Schizosaccharomyces pombe: one gene and its partners. The gene in region 1 interacts genetically with each later gene. Each region holds a gene or a part of one and is shown in the gene's direction. Other genes may lie near its edges. The genes, in order: gdh1, fml2, pof9 and prw1.

The links.
Region 2: mutations in gdh1 (region 1) and fml2 together harm fitness less than expected from each alone (positive genetic interaction), as found in Schizosaccharomyces pombe (one large-scale study listed by BioGRID).
Region 3: mutations in gdh1 (region 1) and pof9 together harm fitness less than expected from each alone (positive genetic interaction), as found in Schizosaccharomyces pombe (one large-scale study listed by BioGRID).
Region 4: mutations in gdh1 (region 1) and prw1 together harm fitness more than expected from each alone (negative genetic interaction), as found in Schizosaccharomyces pombe (one large-scale study listed by BioGRID).

Annotation. Positions count from the first base shown.
Region 1 is NC_003421.2:1,417,453-1,424,897, reverse strand, and holds gdh1 (NADP-specific glutamate dehydrogenase Gdh1), read left to right. Parts: upstream 1-3,694; 5' UTR 3,695-4,085; coding exon 4,086-5,441; 3' UTR 5,442-5,767; downstream 5,768-7,445. Other genes in the region: TTT co-chaperone complex, armadillo-type fold subunit Tti1, read left to right, coding at 1-2,348; lmb1 (plasma membrane LMBR1-like multi-pass membrane protein, human LMBRD2 ortholog, implicated in signaling), read right to left, coding at 5,915-7,264.
Region 2 is NC_003424.3:2,114,643-2,123,651, forward strand, and holds fml2 (ATP-dependent 3'-5'-directionality DNA helicase fml2), read left to right. Parts: upstream 1-1,882; 5' UTR 1,883-2,226; coding exon 2,227-4,578; 3' UTR 4,579-4,719; coding exon of another isoform or gene 4,720-4,928; 3' UTR 4,929-4,971; coding exon of another isoform or gene 4,972-5,147; 3' UTR 5,148-5,195; coding exon of another isoform or gene 5,196-5,273; 3' UTR 5,274-5,332; coding exon of another isoform or gene 5,333-5,410; 3' UTR 5,411-5,453; coding exon of another isoform or gene 5,454-5,477; intron 5,478-5,513; 3' UTR 5,514-5,520; downstream 5,521-9,009. Other genes in the region: protein dsc3, read left to right, coding at 1-121; tfs1 (general transcription elongation factor TFIIS), read right to left, coding at 514-558, 608-632, 696-1,375, 1,551-1,613, 1,671-1,739; mde1 (5'-methylthioribulose-1-phosphate dehydratase), read right to left, coding at 4,720-4,928, 4,972-5,147, 5,196-5,273, 5,333-5,410, 5,454-5,477, 5,521-5,642; gpl1 (Gpl1-Gih35-Wdr83 complex RNA-binding subunit), read right to left, coding at 5,962-7,566; rad57 (DNA recombination mediator, RecA family ATPase Rad57/Rhp57), read left to right, coding at 8,648-8,714, 8,810-9,009.
Region 3 is NC_003423.3:1,868,411-1,875,030, forward strand, and holds pof9 (F-box protein Pof9), read left to right. Parts: upstream 1-3,422; 5' UTR 3,423-3,436; coding exon 3,437-3,801; exon of another isoform or gene 3,802-3,871; coding exon 3,872-4,910; downstream 4,911-6,620. Other genes in the region: SPOM_SPBC3H7.08C (uncharacterized protein), read left to right, coding at 842-910, 980-1,031, 1,192-1,433; phosphoserine phosphatase Ser2, read left to right, coding at 1,924-2,721, 2,793-2,891; SPOM_SPBC3H7.05C (uncharacterized protein), read left to right, coding at 6,049-6,620.
Region 4 is NC_003424.3:5,107,912-5,114,679, reverse strand, and holds prw1 (histone chaperone, Clr6 and Rpd3L complex subunit Prw1), read left to right. Parts: upstream 1-2,797; 5' UTR 2,798-2,805; coding exon 2,806-2,890; exon of another isoform or gene 2,891-2,960; coding exon 2,961-3,066; exon of another isoform or gene 3,067-3,143; coding exon 3,144-4,248; 3' UTR 4,249-4,386; downstream 4,387-6,768. Other genes in the region: serine/threonine protein kinase Hal4, read left to right, coding at 1-176; fun14 (integral mitochondrial outer membrane (MOM) protein), read right to left, coding at 984-1,199, 1,311-1,538; Ca(2+)/Mn(2+)-transporting P-type ATPase P5 type Cta5, read right to left, coding at 4,387-4,565, 4,612-6,323, 6,371-6,768. UniProt on the Schizosaccharomyces pombe protein: Has a role in chromatin assembly and chromosome segregation. Involved in the deacetylation of histones.

The DNA of each region.
Region 1 (7,445 bases):
TCCTATTTAGAGATTGTTTAGATTCACTAAAAGATTGTAGGATTCATTTACTAGAGAGCATGCTAAAATTGATCAATAAAAAAGAAAATCCAAAATTAAGGGACTATGGGATGAACAAACTCGTTTCTCTCATTGAATCATTCAACAATATTACTATGGAATCAGTATTAACTGAATGCCTAAATGATTGGTCTACTACATGGTCTAGTGTTTCCACTTTTGCTTCAGAAGATAATAAATTGGAGGAGTTGAACCGATTGAAAAGTCTCTTAAGTATATCCAGTCATCTTCCTAAGACTTTGCAGCTCATGGAGCCTTTACTGGATGGTATACTCAGCCAACTTGTACCAAAGTCATCGGGAATTGATTCCAATTCGCAGAAGCTTTTAACATCCAGTACTTCGAATGAGTACATCCATGGTGAATTTTTTGGTGGAAATGAGATGGAAAGAACAACACAAGAGATTGTTACAAGCTTCGCAAAGGCACCTAATGTTAAATATGTTATGCAGTCCTTACTTTCTAAGGCTACCTCAGCAACAAATGAAAACTCGGTTCGTGCATTTTGGGCATTTATGGTACTTTTGAAAAGTGACGTAGAAACGGTGGACAGTTTGGAAATGTATATTGATTCATTAGAGCAATATTCATTCGAAGTATTGCAACAATTATCGCAATTAAATGTCTTTACGAAAGCATCGTTGGAGGATAAGCAGAAAAAGGAAAAGTATAATCTTTTGTGTGTTCGTTCTTGCATTGCTATTGACAGCATTAGCTGGATTTCTTCTTTACAAGGAGTAAAGTTTCGATCAAAATTAATGGCATATTTTTATCCTCTCCTTGAACATTTGGCGTTTGCTTCTCCTTATGTATCTTCGTTTGCAGAGGCATGTATTCAAGCAATTGCGACAAATTGCAACTACTCGACGCCAGCAGAGTTACTTAGAGAAAATATTGACTATGTGGTCAACTCAGTTGCCCTCAAATTGAACACATTAGACGTATCACCTCAACTTCCAATTGTGATGGCTTATGTAATAAAGAATGACGATGGAGGATGCATTCGGTACATTGGAGATGTAGTGGATGCTATTTTTGGGATTTTGGATGCTTACCATGGTTACGCACGGCTTACAGAAGGGTTGCTTGGAATTCTTTATGCCATAATAAAGCAAGAAAGTATAAATGGCGAGGAGAAAAAGCTCATCGTCGGGGTGGAGGAGGACGCAATGAACGAGGATAAAAATAAGCCATGTAAAAAGATTCGCGAATTCGTTCAACTACTATTAGAGAACCCTAATTATCCTCTTCCAAAAGATGATCATGAACTAGAGGATATGATACACGATGAACAACAAGAAACGAAAAGTGGACATGAACAGTTTCGCGAACATGCAATGAAGGAAAAAGAAAAGAAGGGCAAAGAAAATGAAAATATGGGTGAGACCACAGTTGATCATGAAAACATAAATAGTAATGTTATGGACGAACAAGGAGAAAAGCAAAAAGATGATGTCGTCGATATGGTAAGGAAAATCACGGAAAAGGCGCAGTTATTCTTATCACATGAACAAATTACGATACGAGTGGAAATGTTAAAATTGTTGAGCTATGGAAGCAATGTTTTGGCTAAGGAGCCAAACACATTTTATCCTGCTATTAATACATTTTGGCCATTGGTCGTTATTCAGCTTGACACGGATAACGAACTGCTAGTAGAATGCGCATTAGAAACTATATATCAAGTTTGCGCCCTTGCAGATGATTTTATGACATCTAGGATTCGCCAAGATTTGCTTCCACGATTGGAGACGTTGTGCCAACGTTGGCATCTTTTCAATGTTGCTCGAACATATTCTAGTGAGCATCGTTTGCAAAGGGCAATGCTAAAAGTAACTTCAGCATGTGTGGCTAACAAATTGAGCATTGTAGTGTATTTGAAGCTTATGGGGATAACGGCACCCATCATACGAGCCATTACTCACATGTCTCAAAAGTATGCGGGGGATGAATCATTGGTGGAAGAAACTTGGAACGCATTTTCCAAGCAAAATCCCGACGCAGTGTATTATGAGAGAGAAGTTCGAGGGTCTCAAATGATTGACACTTTCTCTACTGAATTGTTAATTCCGGGAAAGCAACGTGTTCAACGTACATATCGCCGAACACATGAAGTTTTGGAACCTGTCGGAGCAAAGACGTCGGAGACTGTTTTCAATGATTTGCTTGGGCAACAAGGCAGCGGGAAAACCGAGACACAAGAGGAACCACTCCCTTCTTTGGACAATTTGTTACACTTGAATCAACCGAAAAAAGGAGCTAAAAAACCATTGATTTCCATCATTTAACGATAATAAAAGTGGTTACCAGTTTTAGAATTTTCCGTGTTTTAAAAGAAAATACAAAGAGCCTAAAAATCAGGCAAAGAATTCCATTACATCGCATAAAATTATATTGGCAAAGGCTCGACTTTTTTCATCTTGGCATTATTTGATTTGACTAAGGCTGTACTCGATTCAACTTGTTTCGATTTAGATGAGCCATTTTACCTACATTCAATGAGTCAGACTCAACGAATTTAGCTAAGTTGACGAAACGAGGCTGGCAGCTACCTAAATTATACTAAAAAACAAACTCATCTTGCTACCGAGCACAACGACGATCGCACCTTGTTTCGTAGTTTCGCTAATCTTTCGAATGAACTATTTTCTATCCAATTTTAGATTCAAAGCAAACAGCCACATGATCGGGCAAGGAATAAATGGACAAACGATAGTGGGATAGTGGGTTATCAGAAGACCAAAAAATAAAGAAATTTGAAATTTTTCTAACTTACATCTACGCTACGAATTTCATGACTCTGTTTCGTTTGTCTTTTTTCTATTGAAAGCTAGTCATGACTATGGCTGCTAAGGCGCAATACGTTTGGATGAGCGAATGTTTAGTCCATACTGTAAAACCGAGGCAAGGCCGTTTACTCGAATTTTCGGATATGTATTTGCGATTTGGTCTGCCTGGAAGAACCTACCCGTTTCAGTGTGATTCGACCTATTTCAGTATTTAGCGTTTTTTTCTTTTGGTACTATCCTTAGTTATCCTTGTTATCAGTAAGGGGGCAGCAACTGAAAGGAGTAAAGAATAGACCCTTTAAATGGATGTGAGAGATTGGAACGAGATTAGATTAACAAAGGACTTGGACTTTTCCAGATTTTTTTTCTTAAAAAAATTATAGAAACTGTTAATCAACAGAAAGCGAAAATCTTCTATATTACAACATTAACCTCTCTAAAACATTTTTTTTTCATCTAAAAACATCTTTCCCCCCCCCCCAAGCACCCCATCCCACTAAGGATCTTCTATAATTCCATGGATTTTCCCGGAGGAGCTGCGTTTTCCCCACATTTTCAGTAGGGTGGGTGATAGCCGTTGCACGGACCAATCATTAAGCAATGCTTATCTTATCTTTATTTGGTTGAGCAGGAGACGAAGGAATTCTGTGAGGGGGTTGGCTTATCAGATCGGAAATTTTCCGCTTAAGTAATCTTCTTTTCCACTATCCAATTATAGAGAAAAGAGATATATAGGAGCATTGTGATTGGAGATTTTGACATCATACTTACATCCTATTCGTCTGTTATCTCCGCCATCGCTCTTCCATCAGGTTTATTGCAAGTCGTCAGCCATTAGCAAACGTATGGTCTCCCAAAAAACAAGGTATCTGGTGTGACTGTTGATTATTGCTTGTTAAGTGTATAAATATAGCAGACATGGCCAGCACGTCCCTGAATCCTCCTGCTACACTGCACTGGTACATCTGGTAAGCGTTTTGAACCCGGATCGATATCTCTTACATACTCACGTTGTAAGAGTTTTGTTGGATTGTAGTTAAATTTTGAAAGTCTTTGCGTTGAAGGCGTCGAATACGGATTTGTATAGAACTTTGGATTGTACAGCCTGTATTTGTATTGTTAAAAGTTTTCGAGGTCGCCTTTTTTTGATATCTCGAATTCTCTAAACTTATCATTATTATATAGATATACACTCTATATCACTACCTTCGATTTTGTTTACTTTTTTGGCCCACCATGAGTACCCCATACGAACCTGAATTTCAACAAGCCTACAAGGAGATTGTGGGCTCCATCGAGAGCTCCAAGCTCTTTGAAGTTCATCCCGAGTTGAAGCGTGTGCTTCCAATCATTTCCATTCCCGAACGTGTCTTAGAATTCCGCGTCACATGGGAGGACGATAAAGGTAACTGCCGTGTTAACACCGGCTACCGTGTCCAATTCAACTCGGCTTTGGGCCCCTACAAGGGTGGATTGCGTTTCCATCCTTCCGTCAACTTGAGCATCCTCAAGTTCTTGGGCTTTGAACAAATTTTCAAGAATGCCTTGACGGGCCTTCCCATGGGTGGTGGCAAAGGTGGTTCTGACTTCGACCCCAAGGGCAAATCCGACAACGAGATTCGTCGCTTCTCGCAAGCTTTCATGCGTCAGCTTTTCCGCTATATCGGTCCTCAAACTGATGTACCGGCTGGTGATATTGGTGTCACAGGTTTTGTCGTTATGCACATGTTTGGTGAGTACAAGCGTCTTCGCAATGAGTACAGTGGTGTCGTCACCGGCAAGCACATGCTTACCGGCGGTAGCAACATTCGTCCTGAAGCCACTGGCTACGGTGTCGTTTACTATGTTAAGCACATGATTGAACACCGCACCAAGGGTGCCGAGACCTTGAAGGGCAAGCGTGTTGCCATCTCCGGTAGCGGCAACGTTGCTCAATATGCTGCCTTGAAGTGCATTCAAGAAGGCGCTATTGTTAAGAGTATCAGTGACTCTAAAGGTGTCCTAATTGCAAAGACCGCTGAAGGCCTTGTCCCTGAAGAGATCCATGAAATTATGGCTCTAAAGGAGAAGCGTGCCAGCATTGCCGACTCTGCTTCTCTTTGCAAGAAGCATCACTACATCGCCGGTGCTCGTCCCTGGACTAATGTTGGTGAAATTGACATTGCTTTGCCTTGTGCAACTCAAAACGAAGTTAGCGGTGAGGAAGCCGCCGCTCTTATCAAACAAGGATGTCGCTACGTTGCTGAGGGCTCCAACATGGGTTCTTCTGCTGAGGCCGTTGAAGTCTTTGAGAAGTCTCGTGCTTCTGGTGAGGGTTGCTGGCTTGCTCCTGGTAAGGCTGCCAATGCTGGTGGTGTCGCCGTTTCTGGCTTGGAAATGGCTCAAAATGCTCAATTCTCTACCTGGACTCATGCCGAGGTTGACGCTAAATTGGCTGGAATTATGCAAAACATCTTTGAACAATCCACCGATGTCGCCTCCAAGTATTGTGACTCTGGCTCTAACAACATTCCCAGTCTTGTCGATGGTGCCAACATTGCTGGTTTCTTGAAGGTTGCTACTGCCATGCAAGCCGTTGGTGACTGGTGGTAGACTTCATTCGTGAAATGTTTAGGCATTTTTGATTCACTGTATCTGTATATGTTTTTTCAAGTCACTCGCTTTTCTGTACCTCTTCTACTTTACCAATTTTTTTAAAAAGCTATGAATCTATTAGATGATTATGATGCATACGAAAAAAAATAAATCAGTCTTTGAATTATTCTCACAGATGCTTCGAATACGAAGTACCCGTAATTATGTAGACTTTTCATGTAATAAAAGGATCATTTGATTTTCTAGTTCCGCTCAAGGCGCCTCCTTTATTCAATTAATTTTAACTGGTATTTGATAGCTGTATGAAATTATTATTTATGAGAATCCTTTGAAGAATTTACTAAAAAGAATTTTTTAACGTTATGTAAATGATAGACTTGTATAAGAAAATAGTTGAGAAATAACAATTGCTGTTAAAAATGTGAAGAATAGACTAAATTATTAAAATACATAGGGCTCATAACGGTAAATTAAACATGGGCATTATTTGTACCCAAAAGAAGGGCTCTGCCTTCAGCTAAATAGGCAGCCGAGGTTTCATTAAACAGATCATCATCGTTTTCTGAATTCAGTGATGAATCATCAAAGTCATCGGAAGAGCTGGCACTGGATGATTTGCGCAGCGTAATGGAATAAATGAATTGTCGCAACCTATATTTTAAAGAAATCATAGAAAAAATAATCGGCAGTAGTATAAAGGTTGGATAACGTTTGCTAATAAGATTTCCAAGTGGTAAGAGGTCAATACTCTCACCATAGAATTGATGGAATTGGGTGGGATAAGGTTGTAGAGAAACAAAGTTATAACAAAGAGGAAGCGTTAAGCGACAAAGTTGAGATGCGAAGTATATCAAGGAGGCCGTATTTGTAGCTCGGAAAGGAACTAATGCATAATAGTAATGTGGCGCAAATTGAGTTCGCATCAAGGATTTGTACGTGCAGTATCGCATGTAATAAACAAATAAAAACGATACAAAAATAGAAGTGGCAGACGAATTGGTAAACTTTTGTAAGATAATACCAACCAAGGAATATTGAGTGTGCAAAAACACTTCTGATACCACAATGATTACACTCATTGAAGCCATAAATATTGAGAACAAAATTCTAAAAGCTGGAAGAATCCAAACGTAAAATGCATATGCAACGACAGGGTGTATTGGAATATATGAGTCTGGTAAGTATAGACGATAAGAGCCAGATGCTTTAGCAGTTTTGATCAGCATAATACGATTATATTCTTTTACCATTTGATTCCAAGTAGTTTGTAAAGCGATCACGTTAGACATTCCATTTGGAGAACTGTGAGGATTGAATGCGTGATCAGTAAGAGATGAAGTAAAAAAATCGCTGCTAGATTGATTCCGGCCGTTATTTAAGCTAATGGATGAAGATGGTAAAGAGTAGCTCTCGAGCCGAGCTTGAAGTTTGCTGTATACTCCGACAGCCTGGCGCTCAAGAAGCGCGGCACGTTTTGTAATAAATGCCTTTTTCCACATACTAACCGGGACATACACAAAACCATTTCCCAGAAGAAATATGACAAATAAGAGTCCCCAAAAGTATGTAAGGGAAATCACCAATTCTTTAAAGTTGGAGAAAGACATAGTTCGCAAGGCGAATCGCAAGTACGCAATTACGACACATGTCAAAAATGTCAAAAGTAAATAATATCTAAGGTTTTTGTAAAAAGAATCACTAAGACGACTTCTCGGCGTTGAAAATTTACTTTCCATATAACCTTGGACAAAAGGTAAGATGATCCAACTGAGCACGAATGTTAACCAATATAGGAATCGCCATATTGAGAGTGAAACATCCTACAAATAAGTTAGTAAAATTTAAACCATGAAATCAGTAGAAGAGTAATAATTGTATTCATAAAGCTTGAAGTAATTTCGATAAAGTGTAATCAATCTCGCAACAAGTTCAAGAAGGCTTTTAGAGGCCCTATATAGTACTTGAACAATTAGATGACTTCCAATTCTGTATTTGTATGAT
Region 2 (9,009 bases), on another chromosome or scaffold:
AGCTATTGCTTGTTATTTTCTTTGGGAAAGGACAATGTTCTCTCTGAGAATGCAATTATCCATTCTTGTCGGAATTATTTGCAATTTTGCATACGGCTTATTACACTCGTATCGATGGTAAACCCGTTCATTTTTGTTAAAATTTTTGTCCAATACAATTAATCGTTCCACTTTTCGTTGCACTTGTTAATTATGACTACAGTTTAATTGAGGATTAATAATGTCGAATTTTATGATCTATTCGCTTTGATCAAGCGTTAACTTATTAAATGTACGTTTAAAACACCATTTGGATTTATTAAGAAGTGTAAAGTAGGATAACTGTAAAAGTGTCGTATTGAGTGTGCAAAAGTAAAATATGCATATATTCATCGCTAGAATGAAAGATACCAATCAGATCCTAAAACAAAAAAAAACACACACAATAGAGGAGAGTGCTTCTAAAACAATAAAAAGAAGAAGAAATATGAAGGATTATTTTACAACCGGTATCTAAATGGGCTGACCCAAGATTTAAGAAAATTTCCAGCGATTTCCGCAAACAGTACATTCACAAAACTAAAAAAAAATTAGTCCAAATATTCTACCCAAATAGACTAATGCTTACCGTTGTCATAGGCTCATCAGCAGATCTATACGGATTGTTAATAAATTTTACGCGATAAAAAGTACTAAAATCATGACAAATAACATACCTTGTTTGCATTTGGTAATAAGAAACTTTTTTTTGCTTACACTTCCCACAAGTAAAAAGGTCTGTAACAGCTTTTTGGGGTTTAGCACCTTGCGCATGGAATAAATTTTCTTGTTCTAGCTTGGCATCTTCCTTGCGACGGTCTTCTGAAGCCAATTCGGCAGAAGTCATGGTACTGAGTCTTTGCGGAGTAATTTCATTTCGTAATACTGATGCTCTAAGTTTCGGGTTATTTTTATCTTTAAGATTCATATACAAGGACCGCATTCTGTTTCGATATTCAGAACCAGTTTTACCTGCTGCTCTAGCAAGTACTTGCGCATCAATTTCTTTGGCTTTGGCTATTATTAATGAAGAAGATTCATCCGAATCTATGACTAATGCATTGTACATTAATCCAATACAGTTGTTGCGAATCTTGTCATCAGTCACATTGACGTTCACATTATCAGATTTAAAAGTACGCTGACCACTGCTGCTTTGTTTTTGAACTTGTTTTTGAGCTTGAGAACCTACATCCGCATGTTTAGAAGGCGTGGAGGAAGTTGTAGTTGTGGTTTTCAATGGACGACCTTTACTAACATCGGCTTTCCATTTTTTTACAATTTCCCGAGCTTGCTCACCAACTTTCTCATTGGGATGAGATCTGAGCTTGCCAACGACTAATCCCAGCCGGGTTTCCTAGCATCATTGGTTAGTATTTTGAATACCGATTCTCCATCAAATGTTGGTACTCTTGTGGAATTCGTATTTTAAGAAAGATGTTATTTCTATTAAGTGAAATTTGCAAAATTCATGTAATATATTGTCAACAATCCGTGCGAGAATACTACCATATTGCATGTAATAAACCTACCTTAAGTAATTCTTCGGTAGCAACTACTTCATTTTTTAAACGTGTCATAATGTTAATTATAGTCTAGCTTGATATTAGCTTCAAAACCATCTGTAAGTCCCAATAGCACAAATTACAAACCTCTATATTCTTTCCCTGAATAGCTTTTTCCAAAGCTGCTTTCGCAGATCGGATATCAGCAGAGTCCATGATTCAAATTAAGTTCGAATACTGTAAACACTGCTGTTGGTTAGCAGATTGCAAAATTAATAATCTTATGGTGGTAGAGGATTTATTTTGGATAACGCGCTTTACATCTCACATGTCTACTAATACCGTTGTGATTTTTCTTCACCACCATAGTTGCTGATGTGAATATCAACACCCCGTAACGTGATTTTGTTAGTTGAATTCTTGAGTTTGACAGTTTTTTTTTCAAGTTTGCAAACTGTTTTCTGTTTATCGCATTAGTACTCGTGTTTATTTTACAACGTTAAATTTTCATGCTCCTCCGCTGACTTGATCTTACTCAATTGTTAATTGTTTTATCAGCTTTGTTTATGAAAAGCAAAGATTATAATGTTGTTTGATCAAATTGAAGAAACTTGATGTTCAAGAATTTAAAAGTTTGATATTCAGTTTATTTTTGAAACTTACTTTGGTCTATGTGTTCGTTCGTTTTCATAAATTTAGTTTCATGATTGTACTGAGAGACTCAAGTGACTATTCCGACTCTGAAGTAGACCTGCCAAGTATCGAGGTGAACGGAGAACGAGGAAATGTTCCTACCTCAGTGCTTTGTAATGTTGAAGGATCTTTGTTGAATTCTAATCCTGCTTTAAGGCAACCAAATTTGAAATGTATAAAACATAATCAAGACGTTGAAAATACTACGTTTCAACTAGACTTGCGAGGCTGTAGGGTTCCTTCTTCTCAACCTCAAGTTATAACTGAGTTAGAAAACAATATTGACATTCCAAAAAATATTGATGCAATGCAAAACTGGATTTTTCCACAGACTCAGCAGTATAGAAATTATCAAAAGGAATTTTGTGAGCAAGCATTATTCCACAATTTATTACTGGCTCTACCTACTGGGTTGGGAAAGACATTTATTGCGGCAGTGGTCATGTTAAACTATTTTCGTTGGTTTCCTGAAAGCAAAATAATATTTCTTGCCCCCACAAAACCATTACTGTTGCAACAAAGAGTTGCTTGTTCCAATGTAGCGGGAATGTCACCAGGTGCTACCGCTGAATTGAACGGTGAAGTATCACCGGATCGTCGACTTTTCGAATACAATACGAAACGAGTATTTTTCATGACTCCACAAACACTCCAGAATGATTTAAAGGAACATTTACTGGATGCCAAAAGTATTATTTGCCTGATATTTGATGAAGCTCATAGAGCTACTGGCAACCATTCGTATGCTCAGGTTATGAGGGCAGTGCTTAGATCTAATAGTCATTTTCGAGTCCTTGGTTTAACCGCAACTCCAGGATCTTCTACCGCCTCTGTTCAAAAGGTAGTAGATTGCCTCCATATCTCCAAACTCATTGTTCGCAACGAAGAAAGTATAGATATTCGCTCATATGTTTTTCATAAAAAGATTCAGTTGATTAAGGTCACGATCTCCTCTGAAATGAATATTTTAAAATCGGACTTTGCTAACCTATACCGGCCATATTTTAATTTTCTCCGTCAAAAAAAACTTATACCTATCAATTGTGAATGCCTTAATATAAAAGCTTATACGCTTTTCGTTTCTTTACGAAAGTATTCCTTTAGTTCAAAAAATGTACAATCTAAAGAAAAATCAAAAATCATGAGTTGCTTTACGCTATTGATTTCATGTGCTCATATAACGTATCTGTTAGATTGTCATGGGATTATCCAATTTTATCAAAAGCTTGTGGAAACTAAAAATAAAGCTGAAGGAAAAGGGAGTGGACAAAGCTTTTGGTTGTTTACTAGTAAACCGTTTGCTTTTTATTTAGAACACCTTCACAATAAAATTCAAGGTTTGTCATTAAACCATCCTAAAATGAATCATCTTCTTGAACTTTTGAAAGAACATTTCAAAGATACTTCTGAAGGCTATCAAAATCAACGAGTTATGATTTTCACAGAATTTCGAAACACTGCTGAATATATCACAACGACATTGTTGGCAATTCGACCTATGGTTCGAGCTTCTTTATTTATTGGGCAGGCGAACTCGGCTTACTCAACTGGCATGAATCAGATGCAACAAAAAGAAACTATCGATCAATTTCGTGCAGGTGTTATAAACACGCTAGTTGCTACATCAATCGGCGAAGAGGGTTTAGACATTGGTGATACCGATATGATTATTTGCTATGATGCTTCATCTTCACCGATACGCACGATTCAAAGAATGGGTAGAACTGGTCGTAAGAAAAGTGGAAAAGTTTTTGTGCTTCTTACCGAAGATTGTGAAGATTCTAAATGGGAGCGATCTCAAGTTTCCTACAGAAGGGTTCAAAAGGTAATTGAATCCGGTAAAAAAATAGCACTTAAAAAGGACGTTCCTCGTTTAATCCCTAGCAACATACAACCTATTTTTAAATTTCAAGCTTTACAGAACAATGCGGACGCAACATTGATATTAAACTCATATAACAATAATTCCTCATCATTGTCACCTGTAAATACACTAGCGAACCAAGCGCATTCTCGTTCTAAACGGTATCTTCCTTTCATAGTGGATGATGTTTTTGAAGATATGGAAAGCAACCTACGGGTGCCTACTGAAGACGCAAAAATTAAGCGATTTAAATCGGATTATAGAAGTTGTATTTATAACGCCAGACGCAATGTATTTTCAAAGCCTACCTATATGGGTGACAAATTGACTAAGTTCGCAAAAGTACCACATTCTTTATTAACGCTCAGCATCTATAGACGGGGTAGACTTTTGCAACAATGCTCGCCTTCCTCTGTCACCAAATACTTAAAATATGAAGAGAAATTTAAACGGAAGCGGATGAAGAAAACGTCGAATGCATTATTTCAAAGTACATGAAATTACTGATTAAATACCTTAAAGAAAAAAATATCATAATCCGAAACTTTAGTAGGAACTTATGTGAGTTTAAGCTTATTTATTTGTTATATAGTAACTTTTACCTTAGAACGCAATGTCTTTCAAGCTGTCACAAAATTTCTATTCTGGTTTTTGAAGCCTTCTTCTCCGTAAATAAGCTTGGAATAAAAATTCTACCGCTTCAGTATTCATTTTGGTATCTTGCCACGTATCGCCCCAGCAGTAAATACCGTGATCTCTAACAATTACAGCACAAGTATCTGGGTACAAATTGATCGCTTCTTGCAAACTATCATGAAGATCAGACTCATGAGCAGTATTATTGATAACTATTCGGTTAGCAGCCTTTTATAAAAGTTTGTAAACTCATACATGGAATTTTTATCTTATCTGTTGGCTTATGAAACCCATTATTTTTAGATCCTTTTGGAATATACGATAGTACTTCAAAACCTGTTGCCGAAAAATGATCAGAATCCGCAAATAGAGTAGACAATAAAATGGCTTCCTGAGAATGGGTATGGATACATGCATATGCGTCACGCAAGCTACTGCTTTAGTAAAGAATTCAATGTTCAACAACTTTGCTGACTTACGTGTATACTGCTAAAAACAAAGGTGTACACTGAGAAGGTTTCAATCGAAGAGCTGGCATTCGCATATATTCTCGAGTACTGCAAGAGGTTAGCATCTACTCAAAATGATAAAAACAATGACAATAATAATATCATACATTAAAGACATGACAAAAAGATGGTGTAACTCCATCCTTTCCTTTTGTACACCCGAGGGAGCGATTACAATGGCATCTCTACATGAAAGTTAATATTTGACGCTTTAATAATGCTTTGTACCCAGAGCGAATGGTAATTCCTCCTCTGATTCTTTTATTAGTTATATTAAATTCAAATTAGTAATTACCCAGTTCCTGTAACCCAGCCCGACGTATACAGATCTCGACAGATTTCGCAAATTAATTCACCACATTTTTTCAAATCGCCAGAACGAAGACATCCTAAGTCTTTCTTTAGAAAATCATCCATTATTACTATGATGATAATTATCTTGATGAAAAATTTTGAAAAGGGTCACGTTTCATTAACGTTTAAAAATTTTTAAGTAGCAAAAGTAACTGTGAGTTTAATCTACGCGACATTAAGCAAACAAAGTGAAGTAAAGAATTGATGTGTATAATAGCTATCTTGATAATTATTATTTTTTTTTATGAAATTATTAAACATTGTGTCATGGCACTTGAATAAATAGGAAGTACTAAGTTTTTGCTTAAAACAAAAAGTTTATTACAGTCTATTAACCTAATGAAAATAAAGTACAATAGAAATCAATTAATAATTTTTTTATTCAGTCATCCCCAAATATTGCACTGAAAAGAGTTTGGGGAGCTTTTGGTTTTTCTTCTATATCCTGGGGTCGATTCAACTTCCTTGTATCAATTGAATCGATACTTTTGTTTTCAATTTCAGCAATAATAGGTACATTTTCAATAGAAGAAATATTTTTACGCTTTTGTTTTTCTTGACCGTACGGTAAGGCGACATTAAAGCGTTTACAAAGAAGACGTTCGGGAATGAATGTAACAACTGTACGAGGTCTTCTCAAAATTGAATCATCAGTTTCACTATGTGAATTAATCGACTCTTTTTTAGTCGAGGCTTCAAAAGAACTTACGAAACGCATCGATAGATTTTTTGACATAGGTCGGTATAGTGAAGCTGTTTGAGTAAATTCTAGTAAATGACGAGAATCAATATCTCTGAGTAATCGTGGCATATTCATTAGGTGCGCCTTAAGGAAAATCTCGTAAATTCCGGCACGCTCATCGTTATAGGGATTATCTTTCCTAGACATTGCATTTTTAGCTGTCTCAATGTCAATTAGTTGCCAAGATCCCTCATCTTCCTTGACACCATGATTAACATCACTAGGTAAACTTGCTTCACCGTTGGAATTTGTTTCACTTTTCTCAGCAAAAAGTGGTAAGCGCTCATTTGAAGTTTGGGCTTTTTTTTGTGAAAATCCTTGAGAATTTGTAAAAAGTTTTGGCTCCCAACCCTCAGGTATTGTAGGAGGAGGAAACCAATTATTTTGAAAAGGTGATTGTAAATTAAATACCACTACAAATCCTGGAAGGGGAGGTAGACCATCTGAGCAATTTTGCGATTTGATTATGCTTTTCCCTTTGCTTCTGTCTTTTTTTGACAGAAAGGTATGCTTAACGGGTGTAAATGGAGAAGCGACTTTTTTTGTAATGTTGATAGATTTATCATACCGCATTTTTGGAGCACCGAGGTCGTATATATCTTGATCTTCTATCCCATCATCATTTAAAACACCTGATCCAAATCCACCGCGCAGATTTTTTGCCATTCCAACTGGTTTTCTTTCCAGCTGAAAAACATCGTCCGCTTGATACCCGATACCGTGATAAGCTTGGTTGGTTAACTTAGTGTCATCATAATACCCTTGAAATGGAGATATAACAAAATCATGACCGTTCCATCCAAGATTTTTTAACATTTTTTCGCCAATGCTATCGTCCCTATTTGAGAATTCTCTAAGTAGAGGATCATCAATTGGTATAGATGTATCAATCGTATTTATTTTCGAAGTATAAACTTTACTAAGCTCTTGGTCAGCACGATCTTCCTCGTCCATAATATCGTCAATAGTCATTCCATGCACACTTTTGTTTTCATTCCTTGAACTTTTCCAAGATTTAGGTTGCCAACCCTCTTTTGAACCAACCGTATTAAAATAGCCAGCAGAAAATCCACCAGTAAATGCACCATGAAATCTCTTTCTATTACGCTCATCCCTGGCTTCTTGTTTCCAAACAGGAACTCCTTGATTAATTCTGGACGGCTCAAGATCAAAAGGGGAGCCATAAACTACATAAGGGTGCCGATGAACATCGACATTGCTTCTTTTTCTTGAATTGGCATACATTTTAAAACAAGAAGTAATCGTGATCCGTAGTTAAACTGAAAAAAAAAAAATTCAAAATTCAAAATTTAAGGCATATTTTAGGATACTATAAGCCCATTATTTTTGAGGCGACAAGAATACTATGTTGAGCAACTTTTAATTTTTAATAAAGCCAGATAACTTATCAAAGAATTCTGATTTGTTGACAAAAGCAATTACAATACTCAATTTTTAAACAGTTGCCCTTGCTTCGAATTTCAGCTGCCTCCGTAGTGCAATCTGCGAGCGTTAGGGTACGTTATTTATCTATTACCTAATTCTTTGTACAGTTGAAGTTTCATGAGATGAAAAATGTATCATGTATATTTTGTCTGTTATTGAGAAATCTCAACAAAGTTCTATTTAGTATTACTTCATGTTGAACCAAGCATTCATAAACTAAGAAATTTGTTGGTAGCTGGTAAACTGAGCGAATTATCGTCGGTTGATTGGTAAAACATCATTTCTTATACTTCGTTTGCTCAACCATACTACGAATTTTAATGCCTAACAATTAATGAGCAATACACATTTGGATATGCTGCTTATATAATTTCACATATCTTGATAACTTAATTATCAATTAAGGAATGGTGGTTAGGCAAGTATGTGTATCATTACGTGGGGTTTTTCATAGATGTATGGTTTGAAGATGTTAAAAAAATAAGTGTAAGCGGTTACTATGCTAATGTTCTATAAAAACCAATGTTCATATAAATATTCGTCGATTGCGGGGCTTCTTCTCATAAGGATTATAATTACTAAACATAGAGGTATTGGCAGGTCAGTTGTAATTCGCGTACAACATCTTCGACTCACCACTTCTATAGTGGTACATAAATTACCGTTTCTTTCTGCGAAAAAGTGGGTTAGAAGTTCGTGCTATTACTTCTAAATAATCGTGAGAATTTAATTCAATCGTAGGATACAAAGCTGTTCATTATATAAAACTATCAACTTTCGAATATTCTATGGTGTGGATATAATTTTCATTTATCTTTATGAGTAAAAACTATACATATCATATTTACAATTAAAAATCTTCTTTCTTTCTACTATATGGATGGATATTTCGAATTATGTTGACAATTTCTACTTTGATGAGAAAATTGCTTCAGCATTTGAATTAGGTAAGCGTTTAGTAGTTCAATAAGCTTGCACATAAAAAAAAAATATTGGGTTTTTGTACCGGGATCTTAAAAGACGGAATTACTGACAGCTTTAGGAGAAGTAAGCACGGTTGATTTGTTAACGCTGGATATTACTGAGCTAGAAAGACGCACACATTGTAGTCAAAGTGAGTTATTACAGTTAATTGAGCAGATATCCCTCCTTCTTCAACCAGTAAGATGTTCTGCTTCCAAAGTCACTTCGAAATATTTGACAACTGGCGATGTAAAGTTGGATGAAACTCTACATGGAGGT
Region 3 (6,620 bases), on another chromosome or scaffold:
ATGAAATTTTGAAGAAAAATTATTACTAATCTACATCTAAGAAAAACCATCCTGGCTTCATTCACTGTATTTAGTGGAAATGTAGTTCACAAGATTATCGAATTAGATTGTTATTCCTCAATATGCATGACTCCAAGCGGTCCTTTGGTTTTATTTCCTGTTTTAAAGGGAAATGAATTAAATTCTTATTCCTTAGAAAATCTCAATGACGCTTTTAAACGTACTTGTACATTGGACCTACTTTACTGGAGAAACATTTGCGGTCAGCAACTACTATTAAGTTACTAACCTCATGGCAGCTAAATTTTGAAAAATGACTATATTTATTTATAATGGTACGAACCATTTTTATTTGTTTGCGAAGTTTTTTAGTGTTCTCTTCTTATTATTTACAAATATAATCTTAGGAAAAGTTTAGTAAATAAGTGTCCTAACAAATTCTATAGTATAATACAAGGGTAGAGGTAGTATCTGAAAAGTATTATAAAACTGTATAAAGCAATATAAATACAAGGGCGGTTCGATCCCGATTGCAAACGCTGGAAAATCTAGAAATATTGGAAAGTTGCTTCTTTCACCACTTTAGTAGAAGGAGTTGGTGATTATTATGATATTATTATCCATTCAAATTTGAATCTCTTAATGCGCACCGTTGCTACGTCTTGTCTGCGTCAGGTGGCGATCCCCATAAATATTGATGCTTGTCATAAATGTTGCGAATGTTCGCCTACGTATTTCATTTTGACATTTACAATCATAAAAGGATTTTAGATCCTTTCCATCTCGAAACAATTAATCAAACTATTCAAGCGAACAAGAACTTTTTATTTTTGGAACCATCATGTCAATTATGCGCTCAATTATGTCGAACCGCCTGGTTCGCTGGTCAAGAGAATATCCAGAACTATTTGTAAGCTCAATTTTTTTTTGAAAAATATATTGAGTTGATTATTTCGTAAGCTGATCAGTTTGCTGTTAGATAACTTGGTGTGTCATGACTTATACCTTTGGAGTTGCTGGTTATATGCTTGGTATGTTAAAAATTAGTAGAAAATTAGAAATCAGCGCAGTTAATGAAACATTATACTCAATTTTAATATTCTGTTAAAATTTTCCTACAGAATATTTATTTTACAAGCGCATTTACATATGATTGTTTAAATTAAATGATTGTAGCTAACAGTTTTTTAGGACAGCGGGGCTTGTTGGTACAACATGAAGATCAAGTCCGAATTCCTTCAAAAAATGCTCACCCCTGGGAAGACACCAAAAGCAGTAGCGGAAAAAGTGATGAGAGTCTTGATTATAGCTACAAGTATTATCCTCGAGGAGATAGGAGTAAAGAACCTCGAAAGGCACCTTCTGCTATTCAATACAGCACTTTTCCCGTTAAAGGTGTATCAGAAGAGGTACTTGAGCGATTCTCTAAGTAAAGCACATTAAATTGTGTATAACCTTTTAGGAATGAAAGAGAACAATTATTACATTGCCAAATATTTTTTTAGTGCTTTTTCACTTTACAAATATCTCACTCTCTACTTTATGGTAGGCTCTCATTTTTGGAATATTTGCCCTGATATATTGCAATATTTCCAAACATCTTCTTAGTTATGATTTCTTGCTTTATTGCTTTAATGTATAAAAAAAATATTTGCTTATTAACCTGTGTTTGAAAACGGAGTTTAGGCACCACTTTACCAACTTCACAATTTATACAGCATTTTGAAGATAATGATAAATTTGTAAACAATAACAAAAAATAAGCTTGTTTGAGATTTTCAAATAACTTAAATTGACCTAGTACTTGTTGTCGTTTAACGTTAAGCTTAATCAATAGCCGAGTAATTAGTAAATGGGACTTGCCGAAAACAACGCTTTTCAACTTAGAAAATTTAGCAAACCCACTCATACCTTTTAATAAGCATGGTCAACGCAGCCATAGTTGTTTCCTCAAATCGTCCAAATGTGCTTGAACAGATTTCCTCCTTGTTTAGAGATGGGAAGACTCGTTCTCTGGGGGAACAGTGGACTTTAGTATCAGGCCAACTTAAAGGAACGTTTGAAGATGCTAAAGACGCTTGTAACCGCATTTCTGCTACTGAGAATGTAGACTGTAATTGCTTGAGTGAAGCAACATTTTCCACTAAAAAGAAGCTTGTAGTATTTGACATGGACTCGACGTTGATTCAACAAGAGTGTATTGACGAGCTCGCGGCAGAAGCAGGCATCCAGAAAGAGGTTGCTACGATTACATCTCTTGCAATGAATGGGGAAATTGACTTTCAAGAATCACTTCGTCGTCGCGTTTCTCTACTACAAGGGTTGAGCGTCGATGTCATAAATAAAGTCATTGGCAAAATTACTTTCACTCCAGGAGCTAAACAGCTTTGTCATTGCCTTAAGCAAATGGGTGCGACTCTTGTTGTCGCTAGTGGTGGATTTGTTCCAATGGCTGAATATGTCAAGGGACAACTGGACTTGGACTATGCATATGCCAATGTACTTGAATTTTCCGATGATGGTAAATTCCTCACTGGAAAAGTTCAAGGTGCAATTGTAGATGGACAACGAAAAGCTTCCATTTTGCGTGAAAAGAGGGAAGAGTTGGGTTTAAATAAGCTCGAAACGATGGCTGTTGGGGACGGAGCTAACGATTTGGTCATGATGGCCGAATCCGGTTTAGGAATTGCGTTCAAAGCTAAACCCAAAGTTCAATTATTGGTATGTTCGAAATTTTTTTACAAATTTATGTTTTTAATGATCTTACTAACTCGATTTTTTTTTTTAATTAGGCTGATTCGAAAATCAATCTTCCATCTTTGCAAAACGCTCTTTACCTCTTGGGTATTGATGAGCAACAACAAAAAAAGCTATTGGAAAACAAAAATTAATTTAGAATTTCCAAGAATTTTTCAATCGCAAGGCGCTGTCAAGAACTCTGAGCTACTGTGGCTTGGTTTTTATAAAGCAATATTTTACTTGTGCGCGTGGTCTTTTTTTCTGTAGTAGGAGCCGTCTTTTATATACCCTACTTCTTTATTTTTGATACTCTTATTTTTCTTTTTCCTTAATTTACAATTTTGGTATGATCAATGCTTCATTGGAAAGGGTGTGCAATGAATGCTTAAAAAAAAAGGGGCAGTTCAGAAGCTTTCTTCTTTAAAACAGACAAGAATTACTCAATTGGTTTTTATAAAGCCGATCATTTACTCTTAAATCTGCTTCGTTATGCTGATAGACTTTGAAATTGATTCGTGCAATGACTACACCTTCGTTTCATAGACCTTTCTTTATTATCATTTATTAATTGTAAATAATACAATTGTATCTAGTTATTAAGAGTTGCAGAAAACATGTGCTTTTGACGTATTTCAACACCGTTTCCCTTGTATATATTCAGAGGTATTCATATACTACTACCCATGCGAGATTCATTATGGCTAAATCACCATTCCTGGAGCTTTCTTACGATATATTGCTAGAAATTAGTACATATCTTGATTATAAAGATATAGTTCATTTGTCAGAAACATGCAAGTCACTTTCGTATGTTTTTGACGACAAAACAATTTGGCATCGATTTTGTGCACGGGTCCAAGGTCTCACCAATGTAGTCCCAGTTGTTGATGATAATTACAAAAGACCCTATGCTGTATGGAAAGACCGAGGATACGCTTACTCATGGGGGCAACAGATAAGAAACTATTTGGGCCGCGTCGTCAATACAAATCAGTATCCTCGAGATCGTCCTGGTGCATTGACTGGGAAGGACGTTCGTTCTACTATTCAGGTTCAAGTTGGGTAAGCGCATAGATACAGGAATTTATTTGACTGCACTACAATGACTAACTATTCCCTATGCGGAATTTAGAGGTTATGGGATGTATTTATTAAATGAAAACGGAAATTTATATGTTACGGGGGTACCAAACAATGTTGGGCCCGAATTGATGAGAGATTTAGAGCCAATTGTGAAAATCCATGCTGGTCGAGAGTTTTGTCTTGCACTCGGTGAGACGGGACACTTGTATCAAGTATCTCTAAAAACACGAATTTGCTTGACAGATGAACAAAATATGCTATCAGCCTATCGCGGAAGAATTGCTAATTTTAAATCAGGTTGGGACTCGCATTCGGCGTATGTGCCGGGCATTGGCTTTCTTGTCTGGCACACTGGACGAGAAAGTGAAGCGCAACTTTTCCAGCCAGAGGCATCGATGAAGGAATTCGTGCTGAACGATTATGTTCACTGCGCAGGATTCCTAGTGTATACTGTCGCATCACCTCAGAAAAAAGGCGCCGTGTTTCGTTTAGACCTGGACCAAGCTACACAACACACGCTAGGAAGAGAATTGAAGAGGTTCGCTTCGCACGACCCCCATCAAGGTTGGCATTTAGCAGGCAGCTTTGAAACTTTCACATGTTTATCGGACGATGGCAATACTGTTTACATGGGTCATGCTAATACCAAGCAGGTCGATGATGACCCGGTTATCCACGACTTTCTCCAGAACCGAGGAATTAAGCAATTGGCGCATGGCGATCATCATCATCTTTACTTAACAAGCGATCATTCCATATGGTCGTGGGGTGTTGAATTACGTTATTGTGGGTGTTTAGGTTTGGGTTCTCTTCATTTGCAAGAACAGACATCTGATCCCAGCATTGTTTCTGATCCACGCACCGCACGCAACATCGTTTCCATTCCACATCAAATTCACTTTTCAGGAACTTGCTATTCAGTTGCAGCCGGCGGATGGCAAAGTGCTGCTCTCGCCATTTCGGAATCTGTTTTACCCGAAGTCAATGTGCCTCCAATTACAACTTTTTCTATCATCCGACCATCCAGAGTTCCAGCGTTGCGCTTTTTAGCTGCCCCTGCGACTCGGACTTTGGAAAGGGACGGCTAGGTGAAATAGTGATCAACTTTGCTTGGTAAGCTAATTTCCGCGTGCGCACTAGAGAAGGATTTTATTTTGTCCGCTAAGTAAGTGAAATAAATAAATATCTCGGCCACCTCGGACTTCCGAATTTATCTCTATTTTTACTAATTCCTCTAGGTAAGCCAATTATAAAAAAAAGCAGCACAAGGAAAACACAACGGTGATTAAATAAGTGAGAAAATTTTTTTTCCTTCTTCCTGTATCGCAATTACATAAAGTACACACATTGACCAATTTATATTCCTGACCCCTGTGAATTAAGTTACTGTGCTACTACGACGAGTTTTTACCAAACATTATTATTTTTTTTAATTGATTTGGACTGTAAGGAAGGTTACCGATTTTCATATTAAATCCTCGGTGGTCAAAATTTGTTGGGCTCTTGCTCTCTATTTGTCGTTTGCGTTGGTGGTTTGTAATATTCCTAACCACCCCATTTTTTTCTGGCGACCCTAACTTGGGGGTTTTGTTTACAGATCCAGGTGTCGAGAAAACCGGTATTTTCAGGCAGAAATCGATCTTAAGAGACGATTTTTTCTTGTTGGGTTGACTACCTTGTACCTGAAATCTGTTGTGCGAAAATTTCCAGATTTAAAAAATCGTGGATTGATTGAAGGGCAATTGAAGATTACGGGATGCTATTTTCCTTTTCATGCAATTAGCAAGTATTACTGATTTATTTGTAATTCCACAGTGTCTGATTTATTTTTGTTAACAACTATATTATAACACTTTTTTTTCTTTGCCTTCATCATCATCATCATCATCATCGTTGTTCTTTGTTTCTTTCAATAAGCATTTTGTCATTTTCTTTTATCATTATTGTCTTTTTTTCATATTTTTGTCGGTTGACTGATTGATTGTAAATAAAGTCTCATAGTTATATAGAGTGTGGTTTGCCTTTTCTTATTGTTTCGCCTTGTCTTGTCTTGTCTCGTCTAGTGTTGCTTGTATTGTCTTACCCTATCTGTTCTTTTTCTTCACTTTTGTTTTAACTGCGAATTTTCTTTCTTACTTTTTTGCTTTTCTTCCTTTCCTATTCCTCCACTATAAAGTTTTCGGCGTTTGATCATCTACGAACACGATCTAAAATTCAATTACTTTCATGTATCCATTTTCTTTCGATCCTTCTTCCAAACTTCCAGTCACAGGTATTTATAACATCCTTCTGTTCAATCTATTCCCTTTAGCTACATACCTTGTCGAAACCTTTTGTTTTTTTCGCCGGTGGAAAATCGCCTGCACTTTGTTATGTTCCATCACGGTTATACTGGCGTATCGCATGTGTGCTGTCTATCACCATGTTGGTTATAAGGATGTCTCTACATTTGGTTTGGCATATGGCTTTCTCATTATGATGTCGCTTCGAACTTGCTTTTTGAGTTGGCGAGATATGGTACCTTCTCGCAACGATCCTGTACAAATCAGCGCTGTTAAGCGTCGTCGACCATTCATTCGTAACGCTAGGTGGAACTTTGTTGATTATGCACTTTCTTTGCGCAAGTATGGTTGGACTGACGACGTGGTTCCCCCTTACTGTAGAAAAGTGCTGACTTACAAATCTTTGGGGATACGTACTGCTGTCTATGTGGGTGCATTTTGTTTTGTCAATTGTTTTAAAACTCGTTTATCCAATTGGATGTTGCTTCCTATATCAGCCAACCCATGGTATATTCA
Region 4 (6,768 bases), on another chromosome or scaffold:
GGAAAAACGAGAGCGGTTATGAACCTATCGAAATGCTTGAACGTTCAAGATGCAGAAACACTTTGTACAACATTCTTCATCCCAACCCAACTTACCGCCTGACAGCAAAACAGATAATGAAGAGTGAATGGGTTCGTTCCATCACTCTTTGTGAAGCTGGCAATGCTGGTCTGTAAGTAGAGAGTAGGATTTAAAAGTTACAAATCATGACATTCGAAGCTTTCTAAGCTGTTCGAAAATGAGGATTTACTATTGTTACTGTCTTGATTAAACTATGTTTACATGCATAATTTAATTGTATTGAAAGACTTTTGTTTTTTTATTGCATTCACTCTAGAAGGGCGAAGGGATGGGTTTGATCGTGAAACGCGTCACAAATTATTCATAGTTTGACACAATGCCAAGCGCTATTCAACAATCGCTTGTGTTTGTCTATTTTAACTTTATTACACCTCATGTGGTTTCAACACCGGCACTCCAATTGCCAAGAGGAAAGGGAGAGAGTTGGTGTTTAAACTACATATTTTGGGTATATGTATATATTTTTAAAGAATTCTTACATTAAAGCTTTATATTACGTTCGTTATCATTTTTATATGTACACTAGTGAGCGTGGTGTCTGTGATTTGTTGCATGCACTAGTAAGTCACTTTTTAACTAAACCTAGAAAGTTATGAGCACGGAGCTGACATATCTGAGTTACTTCCACTGTCTAAGACATTAGTGTGTGCAGCTACTTAATAATTAAATTCGGTACCAAAACAAAGAAAATCGTGTTGATTGGTTAATGAATGAAAACTCAATTATAGTTAGATAGATGCATATGAAAAGTAAGCTTCTGAACAGGAGCGTGAGCAAAATGTTTCACTATTGGTAGTATAGAACGAACGTTGGGGTTCAAAGGAATCATAGGAATTGAGAGGAGTGCGAGGGCTGAACAATGTATCAAAATCGAAATGTGTTGTGGTGAAATTCAGCCACTTTTATGATGACACAAATCCAACATACATAGCTGAAAAGAAGCTCAGCTTGAAATTGGGGTTTGTACAGATCCAATTACGAATGGTAGGAAATGTTGATTGAGTATTAAACCTACCTGAACTTGGGAAATGAAATCCAGTATACTGCTCCGTAGGACCTATAACTTGTTGCTGCAGCTGGGGCCAATTAATTCGGATCAGACCTTTACTGTTAATATACTAATAAACGTATTGTGTTAGTATTATGAAAGATAAATACGATTTTCAGTGCGAAACACAAGGTTTTTAAAACCTCTAAATATAAATAAAGAATCAAACTTAAGCACTTACAGCAATGGTAGCGAAAACGGCGGAGCAGGCAACGATGAATAAACGGCCCAATTTTCCTAAAGCAAATCCGGCTGCTAAACCAAGAGAGCTTCCAATAAAGATTTGACGGTAATTCAGCTTAAATTGAGAGGTGATAGTAGTTGCAGCACTTGCCGAATCTTCACACAAGACTGGGCGAAATGGGTGAAACCTGTGCAAGAATCCTCTTCCTAGAAGTAAACAATTCATTATGTGAGAGTAAAAAATAAAGAAAAATAATAGAAAAGGTACAAATTTGGTGGAAACGGTTTAGTCTAAAGGTGGGAATTATTACGAAACGTCATGTCTCGAAGATGTAAATAAAAGATGGATAAAGTATCTTCGTTGCTTTTTCTTAATCAGCTTACTGAGAAAGTGTGTGTCTTAAGGTAGATTTATTATAAGAGAAAGATGTAAACAAATGTATTGTGTACGAAGTATTTAAGTGAAAGGTAATTTTGTGCTTCTTCATCATCGTTTCTAAAATTAATAATGTTCCTTTTTAAGATCAACGATCTTTTAGTTTGGTATGACTTGCTTCGAAGTTCTTTTTTCTTGATGTAAAGAACGGCATACATATTGAAACGGGATTGTCTTCATTTTAACAATTAAATTAAATATATTTCTCATTTCTTTTACTAAGGGTACGCAAGAATACGAGGGCATCTTGAATTCGGCTTCTTGCTCGTTTGGTTTTCAGTATGACTTGATGCATTTTCCAAGGATTGCAGAACAGGTGGGAGATCATTATTTTAAATCATATACTTTTTATTCACGCTCAATTGAATATTCAAAAAAAGGAGAACTTCAGAAATTTTGGCTGCGTTTTGCTATTGGCGATACACAAGTTGAATGTACCTTAAAACTAAGAGGAACATAATTTTTTTACCAATTTTAATAATCCTGCTTCTCAAGCGGTTGTTGCCTTGTGTGACTAAAAAAAAGCTTCAAAGTGTTTCTGTTCTTGACGCACTGATTCATGCAGAAGTTAGAGTAGATGAAATTAGCATGAAAGCAAAGTAAAAAAAAACTCATCTAAATTAAAGATTCTTAACTCTCAGCTCTATAAATTTATCTTTCCATCTTGTGTCTTATAGCAGTCCATCGGGAAGCTTGTGCTACCCAAATTATATCTCACTTCTGTATACATATGTTCAGCAAACATAATCATTTTTAGTAATTCAACTTTTTACAATTAACAGTCTCTTTAAAAGTTGCAATTTCTAGCACTGTGGAAACGCATCTCAGGTCGAGAGAGAAGATGAAAAGACGCTAGCCGAAGCATGAGACAAGATTAAGTTTCTATTGTTTTTTCCCATTTAAACATCTATACGGCTGTGATTATATAAAACCTAAACAATCTTAATTTATAAACCAACCTGCACCTATTTAAGAACACTTAGTGTGCACATTAGCGCTGCACGCGTCTACTCACCATCCACCAAAAAGCAGATTCAATCATTTTAACTAGAACATAATGGCTGTATCAGCTGTTCCCCATCCTTCCAAGCAAGCGCAGGCTTCGGAGGAGGGAATAAATCAAGAAAAATGCATCAATGAAGGTATGTCTGCAACGTTTTAACATACAATTTCTAGTTGATCAATGTAAAATGTGTTTCTAATCTGAAACAGAGTATAAAATTTGGAAAAAGAACTCACCGTTCCTTTACGATTTAATAATTACTAGAGCTTTGGAATGGCCTTGTATGTCACTACAATGGTATCCAGAGCAGCAAATGTAAGTCAATCATTTGAATCATAATGTTTAATCTTGTTTATGTGACTCAAAAAACTTACCATTATTTTTTGTTATAGTTTTGCAGAACATGGATATACTGAGCAGAAAATGTTTCTGGGAGTTCGTGCTGATGTTGGCAAATACTTACTAGCTGTTGCGTCTATTCAATTACCCTATTTAAATCAGACTGTTCCTCCTACTACAATGGAGGGAGCATCTGCGGGTGACGAGTCTTCTCTACGTGTTAATATCTCAAATCTTTATTCTCATCCTGAGTCTGTTTGTAGTGCGAAGCTTATGCCACAAGACGATTCTTGTGTAGCTACGGTGGGTAACTATCATAATGATGTGTTGGTTTTTGACAAGGAATCCTTCGAATCTTATAGCTCGGCTAGTGAGTCTCCTCTTAAGCCCAAATATAGATTGACCAAACATACCCAGCCCTGTACTAGTGTTTGTTGGAATTTTCTTTCTAAGGGTACTTTGGTTTCTGGATCGCAAGACGCTACTCTTTCTTGTTGGGATTTGAATGCTTACAACGAGTCAGATTCAGCGTCAGTTTTGAAAGTGCATATAAGCAGCCATGAAAAACAGGTCAGTGATGTACGCTTTCATTATAAGCACCAGGATCTTCTTGCTTCAGTTTCCTATGATCAGTACCTTCATGTTCATGATATTCGTCGCCCTGATGCTTCCACAAAGCCAGCTCGAAGTGTGCATGCCCATAGCGGTCCTATTCATTCTGTTGCTTTCAACCCTCATAACGACTTTATTTTGGCTACTTGTTCGACTGACAAAACCATTGCACTTTGGGATTTACGGAACCTTAATCAACGCTTACATACATTAGAAGGACATGAAGACATTGTAACAAAAATTAGCTTTTCTCCTCATGAAGAGCCTATTCTTGCTTCTACCTCAGCCGATAGAAGGACCTTAGTTTGGGATCTTTCAAGAATCGGGGAAGATCAGCCTGCTGAGGAAGCTCAAGACGGTCCTCCGGAGCTTCTTTTTATGCACGGAGGCCATACTTCTTGTACAATTGACATGGATTGGTGTCCTAATTATAATTGGACAATGGCAACCGCTGCTGAAGATAATATTCTTCAAATTTGGACACCTTCTCGCTCAATTTGGGGTAATGAACAATTAGAGGAAGATGCTACGGCATATTTAAGTTAACCGGTCGTATACAACATTCATTGATATTTTACTTAATGTCCCAAACCTGTTTCTCTCTTTAACTCCTTTTTTTTTCTACCCTAATTGCACATAAAAGCAAGTTTTTGATTAACATATATATATTTAATTTTGTTTTTTTTACATGTTCAGAATACTCGTAAGGCAGCACGAGATAACTCCCATAAAAAGTATTATGAAACGATACAGTGTCGGTAGACGTGTGATTTGCAAACACCTAGAGATAATGTGATTTTCATTTGCAAAACATAGATAGATATTGCAAAGGCCAATGGTAGTACACAAACATACATAAGTTTCTATATCATAAGATGTTAATAAACAAAAGACAGGATTTTCACTTACTTTTTTTCCAAATAGGTGACAAAAACTCGGAACTTTGGTTTATTCCAATACAAATTCCTAAATATTGTAAAGAACTTAAAAGAAATATGCTAGTCACTAGCACGTTTTTCGTATTTGATTTTTCAAGTTGCCATTCAGGTAATTCAACCCAGTTCAACTCGTGTAGTATTAAAGTCAGCAAGCCATGGGATAGCCATATTAATACTGATTGAATTCCTAAATCCTTTACTCTTCCTTTGCCAAACAATGTTGAATTAGGGCGATTGCTTGTCAAATTTTGAGCAGGGTCGAAGTAACTCATAGCTGCTGACAGTGGAAATATGATTAACAGATCCATAAACAAAAATTGGTTATCGTTAAAGTTATAATTTTTTAAATAGAGAAAGAAGACACCAGAAAACTGGACTATAGCACACAACACCATATATTGAAAACAACGATGGCTAAGTATTAAGGAGCATCTGCCCTCCAATAAGACATTAAAAACATCCTTAATTGATTTTTTTTTGCTAACAAAGGAAGCTGCAGCACATGCCTCGGAATCAGAGAGAGAAACTCCAACATCGGCTTGCTTCAAAGCAATACAGTCATTTGCCCCGTCACCGCAAAAGCCAACTTTGCAGCCATATTTTTGACAAAGCTCCACATATGTAGCCTTGTCAAAAGGGGACATTCTAGCGAGAACCCTTAGTTTACTTAATAAGATTTTAATTTCATTAAAAGAAAGCATGGTCAATAATCTTTGAAGTAGTTTTCCATCCATACAAAGGCTTGAATCCTTCTCGAGGATTACATCTTTTAAAGAGAAGCCGTCGGGAATGGGCTGAAAGTTCTGAGTTTGTAAATCTATTTTTTCAAAATGGATTTGTGGACAATCATCCCCAGAATCTGCTAGTTCAGCTGTGTATATAAAATTGCATGAGTCTAATGCACCGCAATGCTTAGCAACGAAAACACTAGTGAACAATGAATCGCCAGAACAAATCGAAACTTCCATTTTGCTTCTTAAAAGAGAGGAAATAACATCTTTAGATGATTCTCTTAAAGGGCTCTCTAATACAAACAATCCTTGAAAGGTAACATTGGATTCTAGAGTAGAACGAGAAAGATGTATCAATTCTTGAAGTGGAGTAATAAGGTTCTTGGATGCAAATGCAATGATTCGAAACCCTTTAGATGAAAGCGTATGAATAACTTCCTGTACATTGCTTGGAATGGACTGTTGAGAAGAAATAGCTAATATCGATTCTGGAGCTCCTTTTGTGAATAACATTAAAGACCTCTCAGTACTAGTAGAGCAAATTACTGACATCCGACGTAAAACCGGATCAAATTCCAATGCCTTATAGATAGAAAAAATTTGACTGGGTCCATCGAAAGAATTGGATACGGAAAATAACGGAGGATGTGGAGTATTTGAAGCTCTGATAGTGGCACAAAAAGTTCCATTGAACTGAGTAAAGAGTGTGACTTCCAAAGGATCACCAACAAGTTCATTACCAACAAGTTCCAATGATTGAGAACATGTAGCTACTCTGTAGGCATGTGCGTTTAACTTTGTACTATCGAGAGATAAACTGTCAGCATCAACTTGTTTAAGTAATCCATTTGATCCACTTTTAACATAGACACAAGAAAGCTGCACAGAGTTTTCTGTTAGAGTACCAGTTTTATCGAATACAAACGTAGATAAGCATCCAGCATTATGAATGCTAATACAAAGTTAGTAAATGAATAAAATTCTCTTTGAAATGCATACCTTTCAGGGGAAGTGGTGTAAATTAATGCACGACTAAGCCTGGCAATTGAGTTAGCTATCCCTACAGATAATGTCGCAGGCAAAGCCGGGGGGACTAAAATAGTTAAAACATCGAGGGAGCGTAAAACAACATGTCCAAAAGATGCGTTATATAAATTCAAGTAAATAGCAATGAAAACTATGGAAACAAAGGACAAAATAGCCATTGTTTTCAGGAAAGACATAGAATCTAGATAAAGTTGGGAAGGTCTCAAATTGGGATAAAGAAGATTTCTAATTAACTGTCCCTTGTTAGATCTAAACCCTGTTCGGACTACAGATATCAAACAAGGGGTTGATGGAGTACTGTCAATTTTCAGAAATTTTGTACCAGCATGAATAAGATGAGGAGAAAAAAT